3 linked regions of the Tribolium castaneum genome follow. The protein of the gene in region 2 purifies or fractionates together with the protein of the main gene of each other region. This does not show direct contact. Links are inferred from orthologs where the notes say so. Each region holds a gene or a part of one and is shown on either strand. Other genes may lie near its edges. The genes, in order: H/ACA ribonucleoprotein complex non-core subunit NAF1, Nop60B and pont.

The links.
Region 1: the proteins of Nop60B (region 2) and H/ACA ribonucleoprotein complex non-core subunit NAF1 purify together in Homo sapiens (co-immunoprecipitation; 7 studies listed by BioGRID and IntAct, counting the BioPlex papers as one, with this or other methods). This does not show direct contact. The link is inferred for Tribolium castaneum from reciprocal best matches to the Homo sapiens genes DKC1 and NAF1.
Region 3: the proteins of Nop60B (region 2) and pont purify together in Homo sapiens (affinity purification with mass spectrometry; 4 studies listed by BioGRID and IntAct, counting the BioPlex papers as one, with this or other methods). This does not show direct contact. The link is inferred for Tribolium castaneum from reciprocal best matches to the Homo sapiens genes DKC1 and RUVBL1.

Annotation. Positions count from the first base shown.
Region 1 is NC_087399.1:2,908,259-2,919,204, forward strand, and holds H/ACA ribonucleoprotein complex non-core subunit NAF1, read left to right. Parts: upstream 1-4,293; 5' UTR 4,294-4,462; coding exon 4,463-4,541; intron 4,542-4,590; coding exon 4,591-4,998; intron 4,999-6,123; coding exon 6,124-6,367; intron 6,368-6,415; coding exon 6,416-6,890; 3' UTR 6,891-7,018; downstream 7,019-10,946. Other genes in the region: Polr3E (DNA-directed RNA polymerase III subunit RPC5), read left to right, coding at 1-347, 400-792; fibroblast growth factor 1, read right to left, coding at 1,633-1,848, 1,932-2,156; fibroblast growth factor 1, read right to left, coding at 2,336-2,637, 2,678-2,901, 3,461-3,573. UniProt on the Homo sapiens protein: RNA-binding protein required for the maturation of box H/ACA snoRNPs complex and ribosome biogenesis.
Region 2 is NC_087394.1:7,764,718-7,775,800, reverse strand, and holds Nop60B (H/ACA ribonucleoprotein complex subunit 4), read right to left. Parts: upstream 7,273-11,083; 5' UTR 7,169-7,272; coding exon 7,156-7,168; intron 7,000-7,155; coding exon 6,851-6,999; intron 6,804-6,850; coding exon 6,587-6,803; intron 6,533-6,586; coding exon 6,278-6,532; intron 3,589-6,277; coding exon 3,314-3,588; intron 3,242-3,313; coding exon 2,898-3,241; intron 2,842-2,897; coding exon 2,799-2,841; intron 2,753-2,798; coding exon 2,612-2,752; intron 2,557-2,611; coding exon 2,485-2,556; 3' UTR 2,364-2,484; downstream 1-2,363. Other genes in the region: TP53-regulated inhibitor of apoptosis 1, read left to right, coding at 347-493, 548-643; P32 (complement component 1 Q subcomponent-binding protein, mitochondrial), read left to right, coding at 8,288-8,489, 8,535-8,685, 8,733-8,926.
Region 3 is NC_087395.1:13,827,485-13,838,563, reverse strand, and holds pont (ruvB-like helicase 1), read left to right. Parts: upstream 1-4,015; 5' UTR 4,016-4,095; coding exon 4,096-4,236; intron 4,237-4,286; coding exon 4,287-4,590; intron 4,591-4,645; coding exon 4,646-4,908; intron 4,909-7,444; coding exon 7,445-8,107; 3' UTR 8,108-8,133; downstream 8,134-11,079. Other genes in the region: Abcd3 (ATP-binding cassette sub-family D member 3), read right to left, coding at 3,008-3,247, 3,300-3,421; Gp93 (endoplasmin), read left to right, coding at 8,430-8,475, 8,527-8,616. UniProt on the Homo sapiens protein: Possesses single-stranded DNA-stimulated ATPase and ATP-dependent DNA helicase (3' to 5') activity; hexamerization is thought to be critical for ATP hydrolysis and adjacent subunits in the ring-like structure contribute to the ATPase activity.

The sequences.
Region 1 (10,946 bases), on a different chromosome or scaffold from region 2:
TGGATTATATCCGGGTTTTGGTTCCTGAAGATGAGGGGCAAGGGACAACAGAGCCGTCTTCGCCCTCTCACATCATGTCTTTGCACACTTTGAGGGCGTCCCCCATTCTAGAACAGTGCCGGGTTTTGCTCAAAGACGCCCAAATCATACAATTCCAACAACTGTTGATGATTCTAGCAGGGGGTGAAGGTCTGACGGCTGAAACCTTGTTGAAGAACTTGCCCAAGGTGGCTGTCCTAGTTAGGGGTAATTGGGTGGTGAAAAGTGAAGTGTTGTACCCCAGTAACACGTTTTCTTCAACTAGTGGGGTCCCCGCTGAGTTGATGTGCCGGACACGGGATTATGTGGTAAAATAAAACAATCGTCTTGTTTTTATCATGTTTCAGTGTTTTCTTCCAGTTGTATTTATTCACTAAAAATCAGTACGTTGAGCGGAAAAAGGTCTCCTCGGTGATGAAGATCCCCTCGGAAGAGGTGAAGGAAATCTTCACGGGCTTCTCGCGTCTTCGTCATAATAAAGGCTGGGAGTTGGTGTTGCCCACTGATAACGATTTTATCTTGAAACATGGCGATATAGTGCAAAGACAGGGCGAGGCGTGGGAACAGAAGTTTAAACAGTTGAGTGAGTTTTTAAAAGACAATAAACGGCAAAGACGGAAGAGTAAAAGTGTGAGTGAAGATTGTAAAATGCGGAACGGAGTGAGTTCGGATAATGATTCCGGGACGGAAAAAAATAAATCGCCGGTGGCGGCTAGGAAAAAAATTGCCAAGGTGCAGGAGAATACGTCGTGATTGGGGCTTTCGACGAGTTGAAATGGCTATAATGAGGATTTGTATATCTCGGGACGGGAATACAGGTAAAAATGCGAAATGTAACTCGTTAAATGACTGTAATTTGTATTCGTTGGAAACGAGAAAGCTGCAAAATGTTAAATTAATTTATTATTAAGACGAAATAAAGAAATACTTTTTTAATCAGTTGTTTTTTTACACATACACTCCTCTCATCCTCGACCTAGCTAAAGTTCCACAGTTTTTGTCTCCAAAGTTCGCTAAATCAAGTTTTGAGCGCTACTTTAAAAATTTTGAGCCAGTAATTCACTTATTTTGCGAGGTTTTAAAAAGTTACGAATTCAAAAATATATTCAAAAAAACAATATGTAACACCATACATAAATAAAAGATATAAAGAAACATAAATACAAAATACAACAAATACTTTTGTGCGTATAGGTGATTTCAGCCAATGACTCAGCTCGTACCTGAGTCAATAACTTCCTTATCTTAAGAAATTTCACTAGAAAACATAAAGAAATCGACGAATTATGTCTAACTTTCGTTATTTCAATAAAATAAATAATCTAACTTTTGTGTGACTGCATTTGTTTTTTTAATATCCAGCATTTTTCCTAGCCTTCGAAAAAAAACATAATTGGACAGCGTTGACATGACAATAAAATTTTACAAAGTAAAACCGCCAATAAACAAGAAATTCAAATTCTAGTTAAAATTTATGCCAATCCGACTTCCTCTCACAATTATAGACGAATCTAATTTTGGAGCTATCGCTCAAGGTTTTGCTTAAACATCTGCTAATACTTATTACGTAGAAATACTCAATTATTTAAAACATCAACTGGAGTCTAGCTGTTGCAATTCCGCTTCCGATACATTTCTGTTGGGCAAAAATTTCACTGATTTTTTGCCCCACTGCGTCCGTTTTCCATTCTTCATGTTCCCATCTTTTTTAATCCCAATGTACCAGTCCGGATGATTTTTTGATACATATCCGTTGTACGAACCTTGAAGGATTTCTTTAAAAATGGCCCCGTCTTTATTTTTGTCTTCCTATGAAAGCATCGTTTCAAAAAATTGTTTAATTATTTAATAACAAAGTTGGTCCACGATCTCATTTTGCGAAACAAACTTACTTCCGCGTACAAATTTCCCGAATCGTCAAAACACAGATACCGTTTACTCTTCGCTCCTTGAATCCTGACATGGGAAATCTCCCCACTTGAACTAACAACCAGGACATTGTCTAAATTATCATCCCTTGTGCCCAAAACGTGCCCATCATCTTGTATGGTCAAATTAAACCCATTTTCGGACCTGAGTCTCATTACATTCCCATGCCAGCTTGGCTTTTCGTCCATTTTCAACTTCTAAAATTCACACTTCGATGTAATCAACGTAAACACTGAAATCAGTTCAAGGAAACAATAAAAAAATGAAACGAAATTACAAATCTGCCAATATTTATTGTTAAAAATGAGTCACGTGTGGAATATTACACAAATGTGAGTAAAAAATATAACAAATGCTAATACTGTTTTCATTGAAAGCGAGATCTGCGCGGTAAAAACTTGATCGCCTTTTGGCCGTACTTGGTCTTGGGCCCGCGCTTGAACTTCCCCGATTTTTTTATCCCGATGTACCACCCCAAATGGGCGTACTTTAGGGAGAGATAGGTGTTGTAAGAGCCTTGAAACGCCTCGATAAAAATGGTAGAATTGTCCGTCATGTCTGGCTCCCCGTACAAGCGCCCTTTGGGGTCCATGGCGACGTAGAGGTTTGTCAAAAGGCCCTTAATGCGCACGTGGCCCGGGTGCCCAGCCGACATTACCTCCAAATAAGCTGCAAAAGCATATTATATTTTTTCTACAATTTTTATTACTGTGCAAGTCGTCGTCGTCGGGGGTTCCCCGCACTTCGCCGTCCGGATAAACGGCGAGGTTGTGTCTAGTTCTGGAATAGAGCTGCATTTTTGTGCCGAAAAGCGGGTTTCCGAAGTGGACAGGGCGCAATTGGCGCCAGTTTGAGTTGGGATTGGAGGGGGGCCAGGAAATTTGGGGCGCGGAAATAGAGGCGTGTGAACTGGGAGCGTCCTCCACTCCGCACCTGCACAAAAATTTCTGTTATTAAGGCAATTGCAAATATAAAAATTTATTAAAATTAAATTATGTAATAAACTTTGACAAAAACAACAAGGATGATACGTTTCTTAACTTACCTACAGGGTTATTCATAAATATGCAGCAATAATTTAATTTTAATTTTTTTCTGAATGTTATAGTACATTTTGTGCTACATCCAACTTTCTTATTTTGAATTGGAAGATTTCTTCTGTTCCTTATTTTTTTCACCGTTTTGTATATAATGTTGTCTGTTATTATCTTGATCAATTAGCCCTTGATTTATGTAATTTAGTAACGGTGCTATAAAAGTCGCGTTATGAAGTGTAATAATTCAACAAATTAAGCGATGATTCACCGTCAAAATTAATTTGTTATTTTTTTAACTCAATCAAAAATTTATTACAAACTTGAGTCTTAGGTGTGGGAACTCAATCAAGTCTATAAATATTTACATTTCCGAGTCAATTTCTCAATCAATGTTTAAATATAGAATCACTTCAAAAATACTGGAATTCGTAACAGAAATCCATTAATTAACTCACCACGCAATTCCCCTTTTCGTCCTATTTTTCACATTTTTTCCTTCATCGATCTCATCACTGTCACTCAAACTTTCAACATCGGTACTATCACTGTCACTAGTCCCGTTTTCCATGTTTTTGCCGATTGTTAATTAAAACCAACAATGGGCACACGTTTGTAACAATTCAAAAATTGAGCCGGTGTAAGCAAAACACCGTAATTTCCGTCAATTAGTTCAGACGTGTTTAAAATTCGACTGTTTTCGCGTTCTTACTTCTAATTTCTAATTTTCCGCGGTTATAAATAGAATTTTATTCGGCGGTTACGAGACGATCATAAATCACAAATTTTTGATGTTTTACCTTAAATTTTTGTGCCCAGGATGATGACGGTAGCTTGTTATCAAGACAGGAGCCGCTGATAACAAGAGTAGATTTATAAATCGATTATAATTTTATTTATTGTCACCAGTATTGCTGGTTGCCTAAGCTAACACAAAAACTGTTTGTGTGAATATACAGATACCAAATTCTTAAGACCGCACCTACCCATAAAAGATAATTCTTTAAATAGTTCAACAACAATTTGAACAGTTAGATTGTTTATAACATTAATTATTGCATTATAGGATCATAGGTTCTTTAGGTATTAGATATTCTTCGGAATGGCTCATGCTCATACACATAATAATTAGCACATTTATTAATGCGTTATAACAGACTATAGACGGATTATAGTAAATATTGTCCGCTTTTTTTGTAAAAGTAGTGATTGTGTAAGGGGTGGCGTGCACTATCGTTGCAAGCGCCCCTTTAGCTGGCCTTGAAGGCCGGCCAATGGCGAGGCGCAAATTGGGTCACGTGCCGAAAGTTTCCACTGCAAATGGCGGCTAGCAAACATGAGAACATCCACATGGCAGTAAAATCGCAAAATCCGCTTAAATGTTCGCAGTATTCCTTACCATAACAGTGATTAATTGTTAGTTTACGTTAAATTCCGATCATCCCTTATCACCTCACAGCATGTCAAACGAAAATAAGTGCGAAAACATGGACAACCAACAGGGAGAAAACGCAACGAATTTATCAAATTCCACTAGTGGTAGTGCAAAATAGCAGTTTTAGGCACAGTTTTCACGCGTTTTTTCCAGTGTGTGAAGCTAATACGGGTGTTGCAATAAAAAACATCGAATCTGATGCACTGGACCGTCTTTTGGTGTATGACAGCGACTCGAGCTCTTCCTCCGAAATGATGAAGCTTAATCTGAATTGGAGGGCTCAGGAGGGGTCCGAGGACTCGTCCAGTTCCTCGTCTTCGTCTTCGGAGGATGAGGAGGACAGTGAAACGAGTGGGGACGATGATGATGACGATGACTCACAGCCCATTGAAACAACGACACAAAATAAGGGGGCTATTAAGAAAAGCCCACCTAAAGTCAGTGATGAACTAGGGATTGAACATTTGCCCCCGGTTCCGGACTTGTCATCGCTTCAAATTAACGTGGAAAATGAGAGTTTTGTGCATATGGGAAATGTGTTCGGGATTGTGGATAAGTTAGGTAAAATGAAACAGCAGTAATGGGTTCTGACGTAATTTACTGTTATCGTTTCAAATCGGTAACAATGCAAGGCTCATTGTAAATAGAATATTTATCAAGTGATTAACAACTTAAATTCTACTAAAACTCGGATCAAATCGGCGATAAAATTGTTTTGCACACATTATTGGCCGCTGTCTGAAATATAATCACTGGAAAACTGACCACGAATATAAATTTGTGTTTTTTTACTGCAAAATAAAATACCCAAGTTATTGTTTTATAATTTCAAGAATATTTCAAATTCTTCATCAATCAAGGAGGCTGTGCTTGGGGCGTCTAACAAAAAATATTTTTGATTTTTCAATAAATATCTACAGCCAAACAAAAAGTTGAATACAAACCTTGTGTGTTAACTATTAACTAATTAATTAATTTTTTTCACGTAAAATTATGATTACCAAACTGGCTTAGAACTAACTTAACCATGGAAAAAATAAAACCTCAGGTAAAATTAAAAATTGCTTCTTTTAGGCAAGGTTAAATATTCATAAAGTTTGAATTAGCTTTGGCGATAATAAATTGCAGTTTACATATCTACATTATCGAAAAAATATGCTAATAAAATATTTATTGAAAATTTTGAGATCTGCTAAATTTACAAAATTTAGTGTTTGACTCATCAGTCATCAGGAAAACTGATTATTTTCCATTTATGACGTGTTCCTTCTACTATGAAAAACCACTTTTCTTATCTCTTTGCACTATCTATTAATATCTATTATTTATTTATTGAGGAAAAAGCGCTGTTATATTAAAATGTAGAGTTTTTTTTACAACATATCAGAATTTTTTTAATTAATAATACGAGTTGATTTTTTTGAATGGTGTAATTCGTGCCCTTTCGAGAACATTATTTTAGCTTTTTCATCCAAAATTGTTACGATTAATTAATTTTTTTTTTGAGAAATTTTGTTGGTTTTTGAACTACCACTTAACTTCTTTTGTAGTTTTATTTCTTTACTTTTATTAATTTATTAATTTGCCTTCTAAGCGCCCGACTTGTTTTCTCTTTTGTTTTTGACATATTTTTTATAATCTTATTTATCTTAATATAAAATCGAAAATTGCGTTAATTTTTTCCAGTAACTATCGCGGCCCTTCCAAACACTCCAGCGTACGACTTGGATACGCTCCTCTTCCTAGACAACGGCAAGCGACCTCTAGGTTTCGTTTTCGACGTTTTAGGCCAAGTCACTTCCCCTATCTATGCCATTCGTTTCAATTCACTTGAAGACATAAAAAATTTACAAATTGAGATTGGAACAAAAGTCTATTCCGCACCTACAAGCAAGCACACACAATACGTTTTCCTTCAACAGCTGCTCAAGTGAGTCATAACAACCCGACTGTAAAAAATAGTAATTTTTTTCTATAGAATGAAAGGTAGTGACGCTTCCTGGATGGACGACACGGAAGTCCCCCCCGAGTTCGCCGATTTTTCCGACGACGAAAACGAGTGTTACCAGCGATACGGTAATAAAAAACTAGCTCCTCACGTGAAACGCACCCACAGTAGCGACAATTACAAAAAATTCGAGACGACAATGAACCGAAAGAACATCCTCAATACGAAATTTAACAAATACATGGATTCGTACAAGCAGGCGCGCTTGAACAAAGCTAAATCGAAACGGCCACAAGCACCCAACATCCACACGGCTGTGCCCATGTTCGACCCATCGGTGCCGCCACCCAACATGGCACACTACCACCAACCCATCGCCCAGTACGTTGGCGTCGAAAACAACAACATGGGCCCTAGTCTCGGATTCGCTCCAAATTTTTTCATGAATAATTTCGTTAGCAACTCCGCAAGCTATCTGAACCATCCGGGGCCCTCGCACCAATAGGAATTTCGACTTTTCTAAGTTTCATGCCATGTAAAAGACTGTTGTTGTTTTACCATATAATTGAGAATGTTCAGTTGATTTGTGTTTCGCAACTTGTTTCTATTATTTCTAATAAACGTTTAAAAGTTTGTTTTTTTTCAATCTCGCCTTTAACTTCGACAGCTGTCATTGCAATTGGTGGCAGTAAAGAATTGTGATTAAGTGTAATGTAACAAGAACAGGTCGCCAGGAGCCACGATAATTGTACCTCAACGGGCTTGAAAGAGCAAAGTGTTGCCTTTAACTCAGAAACAGGAATTTTAAACCTCAAGTAGCTTCTTTTTTAGAAAAAAGTTTCATTCCATGCAAATGACTGTTGTTTGTTCAGTAGATTGTCTATTACTTCTAATAAACATTTGTGTTGGCATCCCTTGCGCCGCGAAACTTTCTCCAAGTCGCGGCAGGCTGTGATACGCACACCACGGCTTACTGCGATCGCGACGAAATGTCCCGCTTCGTTCTATTATCGCTAGGTAACCGTGAAAAATCAGCTGTTTTTTCCTATAAACGGTGTGTTGTGTTTTCCCGCGAGCTGGAAAAATTCTTCCACGTGGTGGGATTCAGTTGCTAGGAGACGTGAGTCGATTTTTTTGATAAAGAATTATTTTGCGCTGATTCGGTATCTTTTATATTGTCACCAATAAGGTCATCGCAGATGCGGAAACGCGCGTTTGACCTCCATTGAAAATTGTAAACGATTTTGAATTTTAAAAATCGATTTTGTTACATAATGAAGGCCGGCGCTGCTGTGCGCTTTGACCTTCTTCATTGTCTTCGGTCTAGTCAAAATTCAACAACTTCTAATAATAACCGCGAGATTATCTTCAATGGGTGAAAGATGAGCGCGAGAGCGAATCGCAATTGATCATTTCTCACGATTTCGGACGGAAAATGCCACATTTTCACGCTTTATATTCAAATCGGCAGCTTGTTGCCTATCGGAAACACATCGAAATGGACACTTAAGCCAGTTATGCTAATTTGCGACTCACTAGTTTCAAGTGACTTAAAATAACTGAATTTTGTACTTCGCCTTGCCACAACTAGGGAAACAAGCTTTGTGCAGCAGAAAACAATAAAACAGAGAACTTCCATTATTTACAATATTTTACATAGGTTGTAGCAAAGAATTTTTTGGTTTCTACCAAAATTTTGGTAGAAATTATTTTTTTAAACCATTTCACACAAACAAAAATTTAAAATATTTGTTACTAATTAGCTAGAAACTTCTTTAAGCTGAAAATAATTTTGTTTTATTTTTCAATCGATGCCTGAAAGAAAAAATTCCACCATTGGCAGGGACCTTCAAAAAATGGTATTCTGAGACATTTGTTTTATTTAATTTTTTTTATTGTTCATTTATTGCTGTGAAATTTTGGGATTTTTTATTATTGGCGTATTTTCTATAATGGTAAAATTACCCTAATTTTGAAACTAAGCCGAGCTTTGTTTCCCTGTCCTTATCTTTTCGTAGATTTTTTGTTGATTGAAATTATCTAAAATAGCGCATAGCCACTTCCTGCCCCGGTATTTCCCCCGCAGTTTGACCGATTCGGCCTGAATTTTTACCCGAAAACGCAATGTTTTATCGCTTGATCAATACCCTCCAAAGGGTTTCGTGTAATCAACTTATTATTAATTCCCAATTAAATTAGATTGTCCGGTCCTGGATTAATTCAGAGCCACTACCCCAATTAAATTGATTGTAGCACGGCATACTCTCTCTAATCATTAATTTTATTGCTTCCCTTGCTTGCTATCCCCCTGTGTGATGCCAATAAATAAATCGAAAACGACGTTATTTATTGCTTTCCTTGTCCCATATAACATTATATGCGGCAAATTGCACATAAACGATACATTTACGAGAACACAAAAAATAATCACGCTTTGGGTGTTGCTAATGCATACTTTGAGACTACTAAGTGAGCCCCTTGAGGACACAGCACTTTTTAAGGTAAAACACCTCGATTTTCAAGGTAGATCAAAATTCTAAAAGGTAGATCAAAAAGTCTAAAATTTGAAGGTACGAAGACAGCCCTTTCAGAACACTCAATAATTTCAAGCAAAACACCCTGCTTTTCAAGGGTAAACAAAAAAGCAAAAAAAAAAACGTTAAAACACCACCGATTTTCCAGGTAGTTAAAAAAACATCAAATAATCATAAAAACACCCCGATTTTCACGGGTGAACAGAAAAGCAAAGAAAATCGTTATAATATCCCGATTTTCAAGGGTAAGCAGAAAAGCAAAAAAAAATCGTGAAAACACCCCCATTTTTAAAGGTATATTTTAAAATTAACATTTTTCAAAGATTTTGCCCTATTTTTCTATTGGCCCACTTCAGGGCATCAGTTATTAACCTACCACTCAGCTGTTCCGCGAATTTTGGGACACCTGTATATATCCAAACAAATTTGGTTTTCAACAGTGTATTGTTACGAAAATGTGTGTCGCTGTTAAGACGAGTCAGCACTTTGCTGGCTCGCTATTAAACTAATATTAATTATCGGGGATTCGCGTGTGGGCCGCCAAGAGCTGGGACTTCGTCCTGAAAGACCTAGCCCCAAAAAGGTAGGCATGCTGTATTGACATTTATTTTTACTTGTTAACTAGTCTGTAAGTAAACTTGTTGATTAGACCTCTCGGTATTTTTATTAAGACGCCCTACCTCTGAGCAAACCCCCAGTCACTACGTGACAGTATTAAAATAGCTATTTACACTCGAATGCGGTAATATCCTAGCAAGGCTCACATACCATGTTACAGACATTTTATCCAAATATTTTAATAATACGCCGAATGATAAACTTGTGTAAAATTTCGAATTGGTTTGGTTGAATCAATGACATTTGTGGTTCCCAAACGTATGTATAGGTGGCGCTGTTCCGGGGGGATTTATATTTTCACTAATTAAATATACACCATGGTCGATTGAATTAAATAATTATAGGTAACAAGTATTTCGTTATACGAACTTAATTATGGTAAGCACGGTTTGTACCTTAAACATGTCTAATCGTCCAGTGTTTTGTGGTTACTTTACCTAATTGTTTGCTACCAGTTTACAGCATCGTGTTTAAAGGTCAAGTTACCTTTTATAAATGGGCAACTGTCATTCACGTTTTACAGTACTGGAGGCCAAAAAAATATATTATAATTTACACATTAATTTATTATATCAAGTAAGTAACAAAATAAATTTATTATTACTCAGAATTTCCAGAATCGGAGCTGAAAAAAAAACAAGTACGCAGATAAAAAATTATACATAAAAAATTTCATAAATTCATTTACATACAAAGTTTATGTATATTTTTCTTTATAGCCACTTGTAAAAATTAGTAACTGTTGATAAGGATTTTACCTAATGACAGTAATTGCTTCATAAAAATCTTCTTTCGCCTGTGCGGCTCCAAATATTAGTTTCACCGTTTCACCACATTCCAACTCCAACATTATGCTGGTCGTTTCCGGATTGCTAATTCGGGAGATATCACCAAATCGGATGTATCGATTTTTTTCAAGAGTCTTATCAATTTTCACCCTATTTTTACGTAATTCAATGCGAATTTTTCCATTCAAAACTTTGTTACAGTCTCGTACAAACCGGTAAATTTTAGATAAAGGAATAAATTTTGTAATAGTTTTTTCATCTTTTGTTAACAACCATCTCTCTAAATATCCTTTATTGAATGCAGAATTATTTGTGATTTTTGAAATAATAGTTTTTATATCAACGTCTAAATAGTTAAATTTTACCGATTTATCTTGCGCCTCATATTTGTATTGAGACGTATCTGCTGAATCTGCTGTGTCTGGATACCAACACAATTGTGATGCTGAAGTATCAGAAACATCTCCAGAAAATTCAATCAGATTTGAAATTAACGTAGCAACGCCCACATAATGTGTTTCTTCTATCAATACCTCTTCATAGAATAGTCTCACATAGTCAAAATCATTTATCCCATTATTTGATATAGTTGCATAATTATTTGGATTGTTTTTAATTTTA
Region 2 (11,083 bases):
CAATTTCAGAATTTTTCGAACAATTTTAACGCAAAGTGCAGAACCTCGGCATGACCTTGGCAAAATTGTAAATTATTAGGAGTTATCACTGTTATCAGTAACTAATAAAATATTTCCATTTTTTAAATTTCCAACGTAACGTAACGAAATAACGTAAAGGTAGTGGTAATGCAAAGGTGAGAGATAAGCGCAACGTCATGGAAGATAACGAGCCTAATCGATGGACATAACCTTAAAATCGGGTGTTTTAAATCCCTCGCGCATAGATAACGGTTTGAATAATCAAAATGGGTCATCGTTTGGAATAAACATGAGTTTTGCTTTCAGTAAATCGTCGAAATTCGCTATGGACAGCATTGGAGAGGCGTGTAACGAACTGAAAAAGGACTACGATGCTTGTTTCAATACCTGGTTTTCTGAGCACTTTCTCAAAGGGCACACCAACGACTCCATGTGTGCCCCGCTCTTTAAAGTGTACCAAGAATGCGTTAAAGTGAGTATTTTTCACTTCCTTGTCATGAATTAAATATCGTGAGTTTGGCTTTAGAGAGCAATGAAGGACCAACAAATTGATTTCCACGAAGTTGAGAAGAACTTACTGGGTACTGAACAGGAGAGGAAACCCCCACAAAAAAATAGCTGACCCTGGTCGTCTTTCGTGTGCTCATGGATGTGTTCAAGCATAATCTCAAACCCAGCCATTGTGAGTAGTCAGAACCATCACCAAGTGCAAGAAATGACTGAAGATCCACAATTTGATGTGTAATTTTATTGCGTTGGCACATAAATGTTAAACGTGGTGTATATTTTAATAAAATTTAGAACGGTAGGTTACTGGTCAAATTGTGTTAGATGTTAGAATGCCTGCGAATTCAAATCATTCCTCACCAAAGATTGATTTAATTAAAGTGGCCAATGAGTTCAAAAGAAAGTTGGCAACGCTGTCACCTATTTCGTTGCCAACTTAATTTGAGTCACAGGTCACTTGGGTTAGGAACTTAAAGCATGGTAGAAATGCAGTTTTAAACAAATTTGTTTTATTTTTGAAATACTAGGTGATACAGTTTGGTATTCGCCCCCTCGTAACATGTTTGATATTATTTCCAATGGGAACCTACATTTTATCATAATCAGGAAGATATATTTTTTATTTTTCGTACATGTATTATTTTTATTTTGAGAAAATAATTTTTGTCAAACGCATTCCACTATCGTCTTTTGTTTTCGACTTATAAACAAAAATTGACATTTTAGCGAAATGTCAAAGACTTCATAAATGCACCACCCTGTTACTTTTACTAAAAATTATATTGTTTAAAAACATGTCAAATTAAAAAAATTATAATTATAAAAGTTAATAAAGTCTACAGGGTGATCTAAAAGTGTCGAACCAACTCTCATATATTTTTTCAAATATACTTGCGACTTAGTTGCAATACATACAGCGTGCTCAAAAACTGGCGCACCAACTCAATGGTGTGTGGTAGAGAATTGGTAACATATAAAGGTAAAAATAGTAAAAAAATTCTTTGTATTAAAGTTATTGATAAATAATGGATTTTATATAAATGATATGTGGCAACATTGTCTAACAGTCATGATCGCAATAGAATTTGAGCAACAATAAAAATAAATTATTTTTGAAACGGTTTCCTAGGAAATAATTCCCAGTGTTGGCACATCTACACATTGTGATTTTTTGGATGAATTTTAATTTTTTTAAATTAAAAAAACTGCTAAAATCTGATAGTAAATTTAAAAATAATTATTCATCGTTTTGTTACGGAACGATTACCTGGTATGAAACATAAAAATATAAAAAAATAATGAAAACTAAAGAAGTTAACACAATAAGTTTGTAGCTCCAGATTTTTTAAAATATAACTTTGGGAATTTTTTCAACATTTTTCCCGTAATCTGTACTTGCTTCTCAATAACGTACCACTGAGTTGGTGCGCCAGTTTTTGAGCACCCTGTATAAGAATATTGTTAACGTCAATATTTGTTATAAACACTAGGCAACTACTTTTATTAATTTCTTTAAATGTGACAATTTTTTAACAATTTTTAGTACATGTTTATATCAAAAAACCTAGTCCTCCAGACTATGAAAAAAATATATAAAACAGAAAAGTAAAACCATTATCAATATTTTTTTGATTTCATTGTTTTATACTTACTTGAAAGATGGAGTATTATCGAAAAAAATAAAAAATGAACCATTACTCAAATACCAGTGTCATAAATATTACTAAAAATGTACCATTTCAAAAAAAATATAGAATTACCAAACTGGACACCCGGTATACCTACAAATTTCTTGCACTTGTACCACTACATCAAACTGGAAAAATCAAAGCCTGTACGATAAAATTGCATTTATTTTCGCTTAACACGACTGTGTTTATCTTAGAAAGAATTTAAACTTAATTCTATTAATGTAGTATTGTAGAGCTACAATATAAAAATGCAAAACAAAATAGTTCATTCCGCTTCCTCTTCCTCCCTATCTTTACTCTTATCCTTTTTCTTTTTCTTCTTTTTCTTTTTTTCCTCCTGTAAGAATAACAGTGCAATAGGTAATTTAATAATAATTGATTGTCTCATTTACCCCATTATCTTCAGCAGTTTCCTCTGACACTGCTGTCGCTTCTTCAACAGTGCTTTCCTCACCTTCGACCTTCTTCCGTTTCTTCTTCTTCTCTTTCGGACTCGCTGTATCGGACTGCATTGACGTGTCCGCTAATTTACGCTGAAAACAAACAATGAATTGCTCATAAAACGAAAAAACGTCTTACTTTTTTATCATCTTCATCGTCCTTGGTGTCCTCTTTCTTAACACTGGAAAAAAATTATTGAATTGTTTTTAAACTTTGCGCAAAATTAAAAACACTTACGAATAATCAACGTAACTATTTAGCCATTCTTTGGGCGTATTTTCGTTCGGTTTTCCGTATTTGTCGAGCTGTCCTTTTGCAATAAGAATTTTTTTCTGGCTTGTTCGTGGTCCCAAGCCCCATTTTCTTGGATAAGTGTCTCGTTCCATTATCACACGTTTGATTTTCGCGACAACTCCGTGGTCACAACTGGCTATTGTTGCAGTGGTCATCAGTGCAATCCCTAGTGCTATGGCTTCCCCTTTAGTGGTCACAATAACAATTTCTTCGTTAAGTTCAATATTGTCTTCATAGCGTAAAATACCCGGTAGCAAAATTTTAGCTCCATAGCAAACCGCGTTTACCTAAAATTATGCCATTTATTGTAGAAAAGTTTTGTTTGTTAATTGATAAGTTAGTGGGAAATTATGTATTACCGAGCTGTCTTTCATAATTATCCTTTTGTGTTTGACCAAAAGGCCTTCCAAAGGCCGAATCACTCGTCGCAGGTAATTCTCATCTTTGTGATTCTCGTAAAGCCATTGAGCGTCTAAAACATCATGCATTGTGGCCATTTGATCTTGTTCGCTCTGAATTCCCGAACGAACTCTTCGAAGTTCCAACATTTGGCCTCCAACGCCCAAAACCAAACCCAAATGAACACACATTGTACGAATGTAGGAACCAGCCTCGCAACTAACCCAAAACACGCCTAAAATAATGCATAATAATTAAACATTTTCAAAGTTTAAAAAAGACAGGACTAAAATTAGGCCCTTTAGGCATCCAAACTGTTCTAATTAACTGTTCTAATCAGTAATAAATTCGATTTTGATGAGTAAAAAATAATAAATGATCAGTGTATTTAATTAATTTTTGCACATTAATGAGTGGTTTAATATTTTGCACAGTAAAAAATTTAAATGAGAAGTAAACCATGCACAGTATCTATTTCAGTTTGCACAGTTTAAATAATAAACGCTCATTACCTAGCATCTATCATTTTTACTGTTTACTATTTATTAATTTTACTGTGCATTTATTATTTTTATTGTGCATTTATTATTTTTACTGTACATTTATTATTTTACTATACATTTCTTATTTTTACCATGCCTTTATCAATTTATCATTTTTTCTGAACAAAAATACTTGTTGTTTAAATAAAATACTCTGCATTTAATTTATACCCTTAAGTTAATGCAATTTGAAAAAAAATAGGGGAATTAGTATTTTAATTTTTGCTAAGCTGGGAAAAATTGAAGGTCAAACTTTCCACGAGAACATAAGAAAAAAAAATACAAAGTAGAAATAAATGTACACTTGGCATTATTTCTTTATTTATTTTATTTAGTATTTATTTTTCAAGAATTTTAGCACGTTTTAGGTGATTTCCTTGAAACATTTTGTGAAACTGTACGAAAACATACTAAATTATAAATCAAAAATGACGTTTTTGTCTTTTTAAGCGATTTTCAGATTGGTTTACGAACTTTTGGTAAAAACAAGCCAAAAACCAGAAAGTTTGATGAAACTGACAATCTTCTGCCTTCGTCAAAACATACTTTTTCGAATATTTTATCACGTTTTTGAGTTAAAACTTTCTGTTTTTTATTGTAAAATCTTGTCAAACTGTGTCAAAAATTCACTAAAATAGACGTGTTCTTCATTTCTGTGACAAGTTTGAGACCCAATGTCACAAGTATTTTACGAAATTATAAAGATAAGTTAAAAAGTACAAATTTCGAGCGAAATTCAGACAATGTTTGAGCTAAACACGTAACTGTTTCTCTAAATTTTGCCAAATGGCGTTATTTTTGTCTTTTTGAGACTTTTTTTGGGCGATCGTCAACTTCACCTTCACAAGTTTTATTAACTTTGTCAGGCAACTAAATTGGACCAAACAAAAAATGATAAATTTGCCTTTTTCGAACACGTTTCAGAGATAGACATAATTTATTTCATGAAACTGTCTCAAAAAAAGTCGAAAAATCACAAAATTCAATAAAAAATTACACCATTTTGTCGTTTTCTAAAGGTTTAGCACGTATTATTTGGGGTTTACGAAATTTTTCACCTTCTTTGAGTACGTTTCAGATACAGAAACTATTATTTCACAAAAATTTTCCCTAAAATACTAATTATAAAATTTTTCGGGCCTTTACGCCCATTTTTTAGTTAAAAACTTCTATTTTCTTTCGAAATTTTGTCACACTGTTTATGAATAAGACCAAAAATGACGTTTATTGCCCTTTTCAGGCGCGTTGGGACCCAGAAACGCAATTATTTTATGAAATTTTGCCTAAAATAAGCCAAAAAGTCACTAAACTCACTCAGAAATGTCTTTTTTCGAAAGTTTTAGCTAGTTAAATTAGTCCGAAAATGATTTTTTTACTTTTTCACGGACGTTTTAGATAAGAAATAGTTATTTTTCGAAATTCTGCACGATATAAGTCAAATAATGACTAAATTCTGTTAAAAATAACATTATGCTTTTTACTAGCAAATTTAATATTTTTCGAAATTTTGTCAAAAATAAACTGAAAAGTCACTGTTACGCCTTAAAAATGGGGTTTTCTGTACAATTTCCCAGTTTTCTTGACACCTTTTTTGAATTAAAAATTTACAATTACAAAATAAGAGCAAAATTTTTTAAACCCAAAAAACACAAAATTTTGCAAAAAATAAACCGAAAAATTACTAAATTCGGTTGCAATTAGTGATATTATTTCGCCTTTTTCAAAAGTTTCATAATTAATTTCTCAAAAATTCATCAAAAATAAACCGAAGTCACAGGTATTACAAGTAGATCCCAAATGGTGTTATTATGACCTTTTTGAGATTAAAAATTCATTAGTTTCTTTTATGAACCTGTACCAAAAATCATTAAGTTGGACTAAATATTATGTTTTTCACCTTCATAATAATAATTATTTCTCAAAATTTCGACAAAAATTAATCGGCCACCAGAGCCGCAAATCTTAGGATTATTTTTGCATTCTTTGAGAGAACTGAAATTACGTTTTTTGTCTTTTCGAGCACATTTCAGGCGCAGAAATGCAAATTTCCACAAAAATTTGCCAAGATTAAGCCTAACATCACTAGTTTCAGACACCTTACAAAGTTATTTCTCGAAATATCGTCAAAAATAAATCAAATACTTACCGATATATTGATATATATATTTTTTTTCAAGCATTTTAGCACGTTCTGTAGTTAAGAAGTTATTTTTTTTTGCAAAATTTTGTCAAGCTGTGCCAAAAAAATCAATATTTTTTACTTTTTCGAGCAAATATTTCACGAAATGATGAAAAACGAAAAATCGAAAGGGTCATTATTTTGCATTTTAGAGCGTCGTGTTTCTCCAAAATTTTAGTCCTTTGTATTGGTAAAAATCTTACCCATATTTCGGCTTTCATCATATTGGAATAATTTGCTATCATAGACCGTGCGAACCCTCAACTGTCTCTTAACGGCCGAAATTAATGGGGGTCTTTGAAACAAGGCCCCTCGGAGCTTCTCCAACCCTTGGAGCACTTTTGGGGTCCCTCCCTGTACAGTTGAATGCAATTTAAACACAGCCACGTACTCTTTCCCTGCAGCTTGCTGGGATTTAACCAGTCTGGTAGCGCGTTCAATGCACACAATTAAACAACCTTAAATCAATTATTAAATATACATGATTTCAATTAAATTAAATAGTTTAATACCTGTAACTTTCGGATCTAAAGTACCCGAATGACCTGTTTTTTCCACTTTCAAAATCCTTTTAATCCAAGCTACAACTTCGTGACTGCTTGGATTACTGGGCTTGTCCAGGTTAATGTAACCTGACTTAACATAATCGGAAATTTCCCTTCGTAAAGGGGAAGAACCAAACGGCAAAGGTACGTAATGGTTCGTTCTCACATTCAAACGGTCAAAATACTGCAAATCACGCTTTGATGTAACGAAAAACCGAATTTAAAACCCACCTTTAACAACAAGGGCCACTTGGAACTGTCCAACTTTGCAATCACTGAGGAGGGCTCCACTGCAAATTCGGAGCCTTTTTGAAGGTTCCCCAAGTCTTTGTCGCCCTTGCTTTTCTTCTTTTTCTTCTCCCTAACGGGCGTATCCGCCTCTGCACAAAATTGCGTTCTAAATAACGATAAGACAAAGCGGCCGGTTTTTTGAAAAAAATCATTATTTTTGAAACTCTAAATACATTTCTACCACTAATTATTTATCAAAGAACGAAATAAAGCCTCGTTAAAGATAATAATAAACAATAACTTACCAAACTCAGACATCGCTTAGAAAATAACCAACACGTGCATCCGACACAGAAAGTAGGGTTAGTTTTTTGACAACTAACAACAATTTTGACAGATTTTAAGTGGCGCTACTGAAAAAAATTTAAATGAAATAAATGGCGGGAAATGTTTTTTCGGTTATTTAGAGTCTTAAACGATTTTTCTTTTATTTTTTTTATTTTATTTTGGTAAACATTGGCGTTTTTATGCGCTGTAATCGGTGTTTAAAAATTTAAAAAATGTAAAAATTGCAATCTTTTTTTTTGTGTTTTTTTTCGGAAACACTGAGACTTAGAACTAAAATCAAAAAAGCATCAGATAGCGCCTAAAATTATCTATTTTCTTGCCAAAACCCGGAGCCGCTTCGGTCAACGGTTCCAGGTACAGAGGCATATAAAGTTTTACATTAAAAAAATATTTATCAAAAACCAAAAGTCTATTGTCCATTTTTTATTTCATTTAAAATTTTGAAATTTTTTGCTCAAAATTTTAATAATCAAGGCACTTACCTTCACAAAAATTAAGAAAAAAAATTTAAACTCACTCTAGCAAAGTTTTACGAACTTTTTGGCAAATAACTCAGAATGTGTTAGTTAATTACAAAACTTAAAAAAAAATGCCAATAGTTTTAGAAGAAATATAACATATGACGCAACTGTAAGTACCCTTCTATAGCTGTTTTTTTTGCAAAATTATATACGGTAACCCGTTTGCAAAATGTAATTTCAATTTTTAGAAGTTGATTACTCTACATTTTTCCAATTCAATCCAGGATTTTTTTTAAATATTAAAAATCGTTCTATCGAAGAGTTTTCTAAATTTTTCATTAATTTTAATTTTAGACCACAAAATTTTAATTACTATAAGAAAACTGGCCAATTATTGTCCGGTTTAACATTTTATCTGGACACCGGACAATCATCTGGGTGAAAACCGGACAGGTGTGGCAACCCTATGAGGAATTTGGTGACGATTTAGTGATTATCGTTTGTGGGTTGGTGCCATTCTGGGGATTTTCGTAGCGTTGGGTTGCGCGTCGCTTTTTTCTGACAGTTTTTTTGATAGCACGTGTTGTGGCCGGTTTTTTCACGCATTTCGCCTAAACTAAGTATAAAAATGAATAATTTGCTTCGAGTTGCGTCCAGACTCAGCTTCAAGACGCTCCTGAGTCCGGTTAAAAAAGTGTCCAACACTTTCCAGCAGCGGCAACTTGCGCGCAATCTTTGGTACATGTGCAATCGCAATGAGTCCGAAAACAAACTGAGCAAGTTGTGCACTTGTGGGTGCATGAGCAGGCACCAGCATGCACACAGTAAAGGTACGTAAGTGAGCCCAATAAGTTGGAGGAATAACAAACTTGTAGCCGAACGTGAACTGGTTGAGTTTCTCACTGAGGAGATTGTCCTGGAGAGGAAGGCCCAGAAGTCGGTGACGCTTCCAGCCGAGCTTGAGGGTTTTAAAGTGGGGTTGAACGGGTCTGAAGTCACTTTGAACAAAAAAGTTGAAAATGAAACGTGAGTCAAATGCGTCTCATTTCTTGTTATGAAGTGGCAACTTCTAGGATAAAAATTACTTTCAATGTGAACCACACAGTAGACTCTGATGAACTACCTAAAGTGGATTCGACGATGGACAATCCAGAATTTGGAGAATTAAAGTCAAAGCCTGAATTTCGAATTGAAATTGTGCGAGGGTCGACCACTTTCAGTGTTTTGTGCTCATTTTTAGAAAGTGATGAGCAAGAGGAAGATTCTAGTAAGACACTTCTGTTTTTAATTCACAAGATTTTGCACAACTTTCGGCTCAAAATCTAATCGAATGAAACGCCATTTGGTGATAATTTTATTCGGTTTTAGAGGATTAAAAAACGCTTCGAACACTAAAAAATCATATATGATAGCATTTTTGTGAAGATATGCGAAATCTTGGAATAAACTAAGCCCTTAGCTGAAAAAAGTTCAACCTGATTTAGCAAATTTTCGGCTTATTTTTCGCAACAAAATGTCCTAAATCCCCCGAAAACGCAAAAAATTGGGATGTTTTAACCTTACTGAAAGATTTTAGGATTTTAGCTCTAATACATCCTTTTTTGGTTAATTTTTGACGATTTTCTTCGAAATAATTAAGTTTTTGACGAAAAAACGTTTTGAAACGCTCAAAAAAAGGCAATAATTAGACAAGAATGTGCAAAATAAATGCGTCTTTGGCTCAATTAAGAATGAAATCGAGGAAATCAATCTCAAATAGAATATCATGGTCAGTATGATTTGGTGTTTTTTTCAACTAGTTTTGGAGGATTGTAATTCGAAAAAAAAACTGCTTTTTGGCGTTGTTTTGCAATTCTTCGGCTTCTTGTAACTAAATTTTGCAAAACAACTGCGTTTGTAATCTAGAAAACCTGTTAAAACTCCCAAAAACAATACAATGATCGTCTATTTTTTATTCAGTTTAGCGAAATTGCGGAAAAAAACACGCTATTTTCAGGCTAGTTTACTGATTTCTCATCTTTTTTCTTAAAAATAATTGTTATTTATGGTCGAAAAACGTGCCAATATGGTTAAAATTGCTAAAAATAATGCCATTTTGACCTGATGCTTTGTTTGGTAATTCTTTTTTGTAACCAAATTTTGAGATAACTGCTTTTTAAAACTTCCAAAAACCAAAAAACTACAATGATCACCGGTCTATTTGTTTATTCAGTTTAGCGAAATTTCTCAAAAAGTACGCTATTTTCAGACTAATTTAGTGATTTCCCAGCTTTTTCTTATAACGTTTTGAAAAATTATTGTATATTTCTTGTTTGAAAACGTGCTAAAATGGTTAAAATTTGTAAAAATAATGTCATTTTGATCTAATTTTGGCTTTGTTTGGTAATTTTTCGGCTTCATTGTGACCAAATTTTGAGAGATAACTGTGTTTTAAAACTCCCAAAAACGCTACAGTGATCACAAGTCTATTTTTTATTCAGTTTATTCAGCTATTTTCAGGCTAATTTACTGATTTCTCATATTTTTTCTTAAAAATAATTGTTATTTATGGTCGAAAAACGTGCTAATATGGTTAAAATTGCTAAAAATAATGTCATTGTGACCTAATTTTGGGTTTGTTTGGTAATTCTTCGGCTTTTTTGTAACCAAATTTTGAGATAACTGCTTTTTAAAACTTCTAAAAAACCACAATGATCACCAGTCTATTTTTTTATTCAGTTTAGCGAAATTTCTCAAAAGTACGCTATTTTCAGACTAATTTAGTGATTTCCCAGCTTTTTCTTATAACGTTTTGAAAAATTATTGTATATTTTTTGTTTGAAAACGTGCTAAAATGGTTAAAATTTGTAAAAAAATGTCATTTTGATCTAATTTTGGCTTTGTTTGGTAATTTTTCGGCTTCATTGTGACCAAATTTTGAGAGATAACTGTGTTTTAAAACTCCCAAAAACGCTACAGTGATCACCAGTCTATTTTTTATTTAGTCTATTGAAATTTCGTTATTTTTAGGCTGACTTAGTGATTTCACAACTTTTTTCTTTTGTTTTGAATATTTCTGGTCGAGAAACGTGCTAAAATGGTAAAAATTATGTCATTTTGATCTAATTTTGGCTTTGTTCGGTAATCCTTCGACTTCTTTGTAACTAACTTTGCAAGATAAATGCGTTTCTTGTTTATAAAAACTGTTAAAACTCCCAAAAACGCTACAAGTTTAATGAAATTTAGAAAGAATACGTTATTTTCAGGCTAGTTTATTGATTTCCGATGTTTTTTCTTACGTTTTGAAAAATAATTGTATATTTCTAGTCGAAAAACGTACTAATAAAACGGTTAAAATTGGTAAAAATAATATCATTTTTTACCTTTTGCGATTTTTGTGTCCAATTATACGGAAAACTCGCAAACAGATTAAGGTTTTATCTCA
Region 3 (11,079 bases), on a different chromosome or scaffold from region 2:
TTTCGTAATATTTCAAAGTAAAATGTTCAAATCATTTTTTAATACAGTGTGATTCAGAGACCCCCGGAACATCGCTTGGGTGGTGTTAAAACACATCTGAGATAAAATTTCTAATACAAAAATGATTTAAACTTTTTTTACGAGGTGAAAACTCAATTTATAATTAAGCAGTAGATCTTCCAACATTAAACAGGCAGAACTACATACCAAACTCAATAATACCTAAATTAAATACGACAACAAAAGAATAATTAATACAGTGGTTACGGAAAAACAATTAAACTTTTTATCACCATTTGAGACTTGACTCGACCCTCTGTATTTAAATATTTATTTCTCCACAAAGCATACTTCATAAATCATAATACGATTGATAAACATTGAGGTAAGTACGAGTATACAGAGTGTTAAGCCCAAAATTATGTCAATTAATATTTTTCTTTTTTGCCATTCTAGTTTATTTTGTCATTGTGAAATTATCAATTCTGAATATTTTACACTTTTAAATGGATATCTCAATACCCAATTCAAAACATATTCAACGGCCTTGATTAAACAATGCGTTTCCTTTATCAAAATCTTAATACCAACTTGTATTTTTCTAATACTCTAAAATGAAAAATTCAAAAAAACGTACTACCCACCATAAATACTAGAGGAAGGAGTACTTATTTATAATAAATCGTATTAATAAGTGCTTTGGTTTCCATGTTGCTAATTGCAAAGTGATATCGTCATTGTGGTCGACACAGTGACCCAAACAAATGTTGTGTACAGACGAAATTCATCGATATCGTGAAACTTAATAGACGGGATTTCATATCGATAACGATGATTTTTGTGACGATTTCAAAAAGGGACTTATTAATCCAGATCAATCTGTTTAAAACTTTATAAAGTTGTTCCGGATCTCTTCTCTAGCCAAGATAACAATTTTTAGTTAGTTATTTTTATTTAAACGTTCACATTCCAATAGAACTCAATATCAAATTTTTTTTATTGCAATTTACATACTGGGTGAGGCAACCTTATAAAATACGCGTGGTTTAGTATAAAATTCAGAATTTAACTTTTTGGTCAAAAATTACTTTTTTTTTAATTACTATCTTTATCTGTAAGTGAAAAATTACCAAAAAATTAGGGGCGATACCTTACAATCAGGCGTGTAAAATACAATATTTTTTTTATTTAACTAGAAATCTCGACTTTCTTAGGTGGTCGATAAGATTGCTCACCTGGTAGTATTACTATAAAATGGAAAATGTTCTGAATATGTATTAAACAAGCAGTAATTTAAACAATCATCCATAATCATTAATCGCCCCCGAAAAGGGTTATCCATGATAAATGCCACATTCGTAGGCTGAGAATCAGTTGCAGGTGGGCTGGTGTCAATTTTTAAACAAGAAATTCGTTTGTTGTGGTAGTAATAATTGATATTGCATACAGTTTTTGTGTGTATTTGCATAACAATTTTTTAATAAATTTAAGAAGCACCATATAGTTGTTTTTCTTCGTCAACCGCATTTCGTACTAAAGCAGGTAGCTAACAAAAATATGTAGTTTAGAAACTGTACTGTAAGAAACGAGTAAATAATAGGCGTATATCTCGTGCATCTTACTAAATGTGAGAACTATTTTGGAACAGAAAAGTAATCTATTTTGCAAAATTTTACAAATACTTACACACCGAAATTTACGAAAATTTACAACTAATAAAGTACTATGTATTTAATTTTCATTAAGTCTCATGTTAAATGTTAAAAGTGTCGAAATAAAATACCTAATAGATACACGTACTTTAGTACTCTTACAATACCTGTCTTTTAAAATCGAAAATAATAATAGTAATTCTTTTCTTCATGGTTCAAAGTCCATGAGATTCATTAATTTTGTTCCATTATAAAAAAATGTAATCAACTTGTTAGACAATGTGTCCTTGTAAAACTCGTATGGTTTTCTGCACTCATTAAATTAAAAATTTAACATTTCATTCGTACTTTTTTGAGCAGAATTTAACTACAACCTCCTAAATAATATACCTATCTAATTAGTAATTATCTGAAGTCATTTTTAAACGCACATTTGTAAAGTTCTCATTCATTAAGTAACAATTTTCATGTAAATGATTTATAAAAAAAACAACAAACTCAGTTTACAATTACATGACACGTATTTTAATGTTTTAGTTCTGTAACGATTAGGACAAAATATAATTTATTTCGATGTAATAATTTTTACTCCCCAAAACTGTTAATTCATTGTAAACAATACGCTATCACAACTTTTTTATGTTGTTGCTATCAACACAATGATAATTTCTAATTTATTCGCTAATATTAAATCCGTCTGTACTTTTTTTCAAAACTTAGAAATTGTCAATAAGACACGTTTGCCGTAACGTAATTAAACAAAATCTCTAATCTTGATTGTTTTGAGAGAAAGGTAAGTACATAGTTCATTAAAATAATAAAATTTCCATCAGCAAATGAGCACAATTCTCATTAAAAACGATGCACAATGCATACATTTACGTCATTCAGAGCTTAGCAACTCTCTACGTATGTTTACCATAAAAAATCGCAATGAATAATCCAGGTCTGTATACAGATATCCAATACAAGGAAACAAAATATTACATAATGGCAATGCGAAGCAATTTATGAAACACGTGTTATTAAAAAAATACCAACTGTAGGGTGAAAGCTGTGTCAACAGCAATATCACAACGGTAAAATATTGGTGGTATTTTTCCTCTTTAGATTCAGACAGATAATGAACCCCTCAAGGTTAATGAATTTTAATTAAATCGGTGACTTTATACAAATATCCAGTCACGATGATAACACGGTAAAAAAGCAAAAATATTTCTACCAAAACCGTTGGCTAAGACGGCATAAATATTTGACGCCTTTACTTAATCACATAAAGTTCAGATTCGGAATGCAATTACATAACCTCTAAGCTTCCTTAACTGAAGTAACCAACAACTCATTGTTCGATTTACCTTTCTATTTTCGTTCCATTATCTATCATCCATAAATCACACACAGATCTAGCCACTAAACTCGCAGCTACAAGGAATAGAAATCCCGCCTCAGGTGAAGTCCATCCTGGGATAATTATTCTAAGTAGGTGATTAAGTTGCTTAAGAAATTGCCTATCAACTTGCGCCTTAATCCTATTTTCTTTCTTCTCAGATATAAAATATTTCACTTCTTCATCCACGGTTTTCCTGACTTTTCTCCTAGAACAAAACCGGAGTCAAACAAGTCTCGAAGTGGGGTCAATTTTCATACCTGTCCAGTTTGTACAAATTTTTTCTTCGTCGTGATATTAAAATCCATAATAAAGCTGTCGATGCTCCAGCGGCTGCAAGAGCATTGTTTCTTGTCACATATTTGCTAAAACTGGGTGCCATTTTACTTCATCTTTTCGCACTTTTCACAAGAAGTATTGAGTGATCGTGACCAAGCAGTTTTCCGATCAATTGTATTTGTTTCCACTCACTCATCCACAAACACTGACACCTAACGTTTAAGCAGACTTTACCAAGTATTTTACTGATTTTACTGAGCTCCAGTCAGCGACTGTCATTGGAGCTTCGACCGATCACATGATTTTGGCCGAACCTGCAAGACAGGGACAGCCGCAATTTGAGAAAGAGACAACAAACACGCCAAATACTCACCTGTGGAATGCATTAACCGATCGTTAAAATCGAAAGGATTCATTAAAGGAAAATTAGAAAGTTTTCCATTTTGTGATAATTGACAAATGGCCGTTCTGTCATGTTGAGCTGACATGCCATTTCTCAGGTGTCTCAGGTGACTCGATCAATGTAAAATTAAATTCGCAATTTCTTTAAAATTTGACTAGGTCATAGTATTATAATGAAACATTTCAAAAATCACTTTGTGACTGCTGAGTTCGAACAGAATATTAAAAACGATTTTTTAATCAAAAATGAATTTGAAATGGTCACTATGACCACCCCAACGCTCCAAAATTCTCCAACCGGTTGTTGCCATACCAACATCACAACAATAAAACTCAAATTGATCAAGCAAAGTTTGGTTAGCGTGTTTTCCAAAAATGAAGATTGAAGAAGTGAAAAGTACGGTGAAAACGCAACGAATAAGTGCCCACAGCCACATTAAAGGTTTAGGGTTAGATGAGAATGGTTTCGCGTTGCCAACAGCGGCCGGCTTGGTCGGCCAAGAACAGGCTAGGGAGGTTAGGTTTGTCTTTTTTAATCAGAGTTCGGCTAAATTCAGTGGTTTCAGGCCGCAGGGATTGTGGTGGATATGATTAGGAGTAAGAAAATGGCCGGACGGGCTGTGCTTCTAGCGGGTCCCCCTGGGACCGGTAAAACTGCGATAGCTTTGGCCATCGCGCAAGAACTGGGTAATAAGGTGCCCTTTTGCCCCATGGTGGGGTCCGAGGTTTACAGTTCTGAGATTAAGAAGACGGAGGTGTTGATGGAGAATTTCCGGAGGGCCATAGGGCTGCGCATTAGGGAGACTAAGGAGGTTTATGAGGGGGAAGTTACTGAATTGACTCCTGTTGAAACGGAGAATCCTGCTGGAGGTTTTAGTTTTTAGACACTTTGACAATGTTCTATATATTTCTTTTGGTTTTGTAGGGTATGGAAAGACAGTAAGTCATGTAATTATTGGCCTGAAAACTGCAAAAGGTAGCAAACAACTGAAACTCGACCCCAGTATTTATGAAGCCCTTCAGAAGGAAAAAGTCGAAGTAGGTGACGTTATTTATATTGAAGCCAATAGTGGGGCTGTTAAGCGTCAAGGCAGATCTGATGGATATGCGACTGAGTTTGATCTAGAAGCTGAGGAATATGTACCGCTTCCAAAGGGGGAAGTTCACAAAAAGAAGGAGGTGGTTCAAGTATGTATAATCCGCTCTTAATATTTTTGGATAAACGGTAGCTCCGTGTTTTTTTTCAAGTTTCAAGACAAACTGAACAGTACAAATAAATCAACAAAATTTAATCATGTTTTTGAAAAATTGCTAAATTACTCACACATACATTATTTTTGTCTTAAGACAATTTTACACTTGTGACAGTTATTTTTAAGAGATTGGTGTTGTCACGTAAAGTTGTTGCAGAAATAATTAAATATGGTCAAAAAGCCCATTGTTTTTGACGTTTGTGGAGTATTAGCAATTTTTTTATCCAGAAACGCAATTATACAGGGTGTTTCATATAATTTAAATGCCACCAACATTACATTTTCTCTGGATTGTTCACCCTTTTAAAATTTATTACGGTTTTAGGTAGTTGATTTTTTTAGTATTTTTTTAGTTTTCGCTTAATCTAGCAAAATTATATTAATCAATCTTAAGATTACATTATGTTTACGTTTCTCGAGCATTTTGTGGTCAGAAATAATTTTTTTCGAGACGTTTGGTCAAAATTTCACATTATGTGAAAAACCTTGTTTTTGCCATTTTTGAGTTTTACCAAATTGTTTTCAAAGGAAACACAATAATTTCAATACATCACCGCATTGTGTTATACAGCGTGATTCAAAAGTGACGAATAAACGCTCGTATAGTAAAAAACGAAGTTTAGTTAAGCACAAAAATGAACTCAAATTTTTTTAAGCAAAGTAATTTTGATATATTTTTAAACTGTTTTCCTTAGGTATCCATTTTTGCTATTTTGTTTGCTATGATATCGAATTTCGTTTCCGCTAACTAAAGTCAAAAAAAATATCATCTGATGCACCAATAATTTAACTTAAAAATTTAACTTTGAAGAGCTATATCTCGTGAAAAAAGACTCAAACACTTTTTTGTCATAGGAACTTTTAATTCAGTTTGATGTCTTTTATCAGCACCCCAGAGATTGTCCCCTGCCTTTGAATCACACTGTATTTAAAACTGTTCCAAAAGTAAAAAATCTGATTATTTTATCTTTTTTTTTTTTTCAACTAGAAACTCATTTTTTCCCGGAAATTAAATTTAAAAATAAGCCGAAAAAAAAGCACTTTACATTGTGAATGTGCTATACATTTGCCTTTTTAAGTGCTTAAGTACTGTGCTAGTTTTTTTTTCTTTGGAACTGGTCCAAACTATGGTAAAAAATTGTAGTCTAAATAAATAATATTCTTCAGCTTTTTTAATTACACTAATCAGCGTTTTCAAAAAAAGTAATAATAAAGCTTACTCTAATTATAAACTTAAATGATCACAATGTACTTTTTAAGGCTAAAAACTTAGTTGCTTTCGCTAGACAAGCAGAAAACGACAAATGTTTTTCGAGAAATTTCGTCTGCATCAAACTATGTTAAACGTCTTTAGCAAAATTTTAGTCAGAAACTCAATTAAAAAAACTCTACATTACGTTAAAGAATGTGTTTTATTTTAGCATTTTTTTGACTTAAAGACTCGCATAAAAGTTAATAACTAAGTCAAAAAAAATTTATTTTGATTTTGTAGGCAAAAAAGCAATTATTTGAAAGAATCTTGTCAAAAATACGCCGAATAAACCCACTTTAATTTGAGGATGGTGATATATTTTTCTTTTTTTGAGGATTTAACTACTTTTTTGTTAAAAATCCCGTTGTTTTTCGAGATTTAGATTAGGTAATCAATGACATTATGTGTCCCATTTTATTTATGGACATTTTAGATAGGTTTTTCTAGTCAAGGCATTGTAATTATGTCGCGAAATTTCGTCAAAAATAAGTGGAAGAAATACTGAAATGAAAGAAATATATAAACAAGGTAATTTGGCCTCTTTCAAGCTTTCAAAACATATTTTCGATTTAAAAACTCAATTATTGCGAGATATTTTTCTAAGATGGAACAAAAAAATCGGTAAATTATACTAAAACTAATTTTGTTTTCGATTTTTTTAGCTCTTGTTCAGGTGGGAAAGCAATTAATGTGAGGAATTTTTTTAAAAATAAGCGGAAAATTCAACAATGTGTATCTAAAAAATGTGCTATTTTAGCCTAGTTAAAGGCTATTGCTTTATTACTTTAGCGCAATTTCAATTTTTATAAATTGAGAATTTATAAATTCGTATTTTTACAAAATGAATTGCACTTTATTTTTATTTAATTTTGCTTGATAATCAATGAATTTTTACTTTTTTGAGCTTTTTTTGTTTATTAATTGCGAAGCACATTCTGGAGAATTATGCAAATAAGTATATAAGTCAAAAAAATATTTTAAAATCTTCAGTCCAATTTACGTATATAAAAGTCGTGCAGTTTCTTAGCGCCCACACTCTAGTGTAAATTTCTAAAATATCTTAGTGACTCTTGAATCGGTTAGAATTGTTGAAATAGTGACTTACACCAGCGAATTATACCCAAATTACACCAGGAAGTGGCCGCAAAGAAAATAAAATTGCTTTAGAGAGTGGAAAAAGTAAGAAACAAATTATTTACTTTGATTTACATTTTTTTAGGACGTAACTCTCCACGATTTGGACGCCGCAAATGCTAAGCCTCAAGGAGGACAAGACGTCCTCTCGATGATGGGCCAACTTTTAAAACCAAAGAAAACCGAAATCACCGATAAACTTCGGCGTGAAATAAACAAAGTCGTTGATAAATACATTGACCAAGGCATAGCCGAGCTAGTTCCCGGTGTACTTTTTATTGATGAAATCCACATGTTGGATATTGAAACTTTTACTTATTTACACAGAGCTTTAGAAAGTGCCATTGCACCCATCGTTATTTTTGCAACAAATAGAGGGCGCTGTGTAATTAGAGGCACTGATGACATTGTGGCCCCTCACGGGATTCCACTGGATCTCTTGGACCGTTTGGTAATAATTCGCACGTTGCCATATTCCAGATCTGAGTTGGAACAAATTTTGAAATTGCGAGCTTCCACAGAAGGCTTGGAAATTGAAGCGGAGGCACTTTCGACTTTGGGCGATGTGGGATCGAGAGCCACATTAAGATACGCAGTACAATTACTTACTCCCGCGTCTTTAACGGCCAAAACTAACGGCCGAGATAACATTACTAAAGCTGACGTTGAAGAAGTTAGTTCTCTATTTTTAGATGCTAAGTCTTCGGCTCGAATCTTGTCCGATAACAAAGAAAAATTTATGATGTAACTTTTTAAATAAACCATTTTTTGATATTTTGTGTTTTTTTGGGCTGACTCCAGTCCTGGCTAGATTCAAACCTGGCGCGTTTCGTGAAACCAATCCAAACCGGCCAGTTGTATATGTGATGATTTTGCGCTCTATGATTGGATGAGAGGACAGTAAACTCTTTCGTCATCCAGCGTGGTGCGAGCTGATTGGACACATTTCGGTGTAAACTCTTCTAGAATCCGGTCTTGTCATCATTCGGAAATTGGTTTTGATTTGTGGTGTCACGTTTGTGCCGGTGTTGTTTCTGAATGAATTAAAAAGGTCCATTTTTGTTGAAAACATGAAGCAGTTGATTGTTTTAGCGATAAGTTTGCTGCTTTTAATCGGTAAATATAAAAATTAGTTGGGGTTGAGTTGTTTTCAATTAATAATTTTAGGATACACACGAGCAGATGAATCTATTGGGGAAGGAACCGTGGAAAAGGTTGACCTGGACTTGGGGGCTAGTAGAGAAGGGTCAAGAACAGGTAATTTAACGTATATTTTCATAATTCATTAAGTGTTCTCTCACAATTGGATTTGTTTGTTTGGCAAAGTGGAGTCGTCTGTCGGACCTGTCCAGATCTGTTAACTGCACTTGATACCAGCCATATCTGTAAAAAATGCATTTATTTAAAGTTAATTTAGCTACAAATCGTAAAATATTTACAGAAAAATTGACATATTTATTTGTATTGGACGTAGTTCATATGGGGCGTCTACATAAAAGCGTGGTCAGGAGTGCTATGAACAAATGTTAAAAAAGGGTAAATTGTGTTAAAATATTGTTAAATTTGCCAGATAAGTGACGGGTATTGACATTTTTATTCATCATATGTTTATAAATTTTTCAGAGAACTTTCGACCATGTTTTTATTTAAATTTTTATTAGTCCTATTGATTGTTGGTTACGTTAATTTGATTTTTACGAAATTGTTATAACACCTGATTAGTATTTTATCTTTATTATTCTTAGGCTGCACGGTGTCAAAATGTTTTTAGTTTTTTATTACGTTATCATGATAAAGTAAAACTAACTTGTTTTATGTAACCTCATATGATAAAAATATATACTTACTGCAGTTTACCTTTGATTTTCTGTGACTGGGTTGTGGTATTTTTCTCTGGGTCCTTTTACATCTAAATATTCTAATTGTCTTTTTAAATCATCGTTTGTGCATTGAAATTCAGCTTCATTTTTACAATAAAACTTTGGCGTAATTGTGCTTGCTGCAAAAATTATTTTTATTAAAAAAAATACTGAAAATTTTCATCGAAATGAAACGAAAGTAGTATTACGGTGAAATCTTTATAATCCGAACAAATTACTACAACATTTTTTTCCGAGCATCAAACTTTGTTTAATGACTATCGACTGTTTACTTGTTTTCTTTATTTTTTTTAATAAAACAGGTAAACTGAAATATGTATTTCTTTTAAAAAATATACGGAGTGAACTTGTTTTATTACTGTATCTTCAAAACCATAATAATCACTCAGAAATCAGTTTCTATAAGGTACGGATATGTACTTAATATTTTTCTCTGTGCATGCGAAATTTTTTTACAAGTATTTCCTATAATTCAAAATAAATTATTTATTAAATAATAATTGATTAATAAATAATAAAATTTCGTTAATTAATATTTTAATATGCATTTGTATTTTATCAATATTTATTTTAAACATTATGGTTCAAGTATTCAGTTACAGTCCGGGACATTTCTATTTGGACATAAAAAATTTGAATTTTCTGACATTTATACGTGTATTCAGCGTCTATGTGAACAAAAAATTGTTCTCTCTCTCATTCTGTGGTCCTTGAGCTTTAATAACAGGGACATTTTTTAAATTGGTAGCATTAGAAAATGACAGTAAACAGCTGACTGATGTAAACAATAACACAATAACAAAGGAAATGTTATAATTTTAATCTATATAACCAGTGGCTGCTTTAAAAGTGTGTACTAACGGGATAATAACATATTTACGCAAGTATTTTTGAAGGTAGAAACATTACTTGTCATATAACAACTACTCAGATTATATGATGAGACGGGAATGGCACAATACAGAATTGCAGTCAATGATTGTGCTGGAGAAAGCTGCTGTGACGTACTGACAGTACTGACTATCGCTGGTTATACGACTTGTGCAATTTGTGATATATTTTGTGTGAAAAACTGGAAAACAAAGTGCATAACTGCATAACCTCACTTATCGCAGTTTTGCACATTTTGATGATGGGAATTGCGGTTCAAGTAATTATGAGTTATAGATGGAGCCCACTGTTTACTTCAAAGTAAGTTCACGAGTTTTACAGATACTTGGTTAACTTTTCTATTTTCATATAAAATTCAAACTAAACGAAATCGAAAAGCTTAATTTTGTCATGTTTTTTATTAATTATTAAAAAATTTATTTAAAAAATCACAGATAGTGTTTATAATTTGCAGCTGAAACCTTTTGGGTCCACTTTTTTCGTTGTTATTTCCTGGCAGCCACTCTTGTTTTAAGCAGAATGGGTGTAAAGTTAAAAATAATCCCGTAAAATTGTTAATATAACTCCTTTGCACTGGCATGGCATGTATTTGAAAACTTACGTTTAACAAATACGTCACAAAGTCTCAGCCATCGTCGAAAAATATAATAAGGGCTTTATAACAAGAAGCGCTTTCTGATTTTACTGTGGACGTGTGGAAGAATAGTGTGAAATATTGCGAAAAACCAACTTTTACTCTTGTGTACATTTTTGTACGTCTCTATCTGAGAGTAGTCGTCTTGTATAAAAAATATAGCCTACTAATAAAGGAAATTAAAGTGTTTTTATTTCTGGGTTGCCCCCAATTCCACTTTGCCCTTGTCTGATAATCAAGACACTGATAATGAAATTGGTGTAAGTGCATCGAATACAAATGTGTTGAATAGATGAATAAAAGAGAGACAACTGC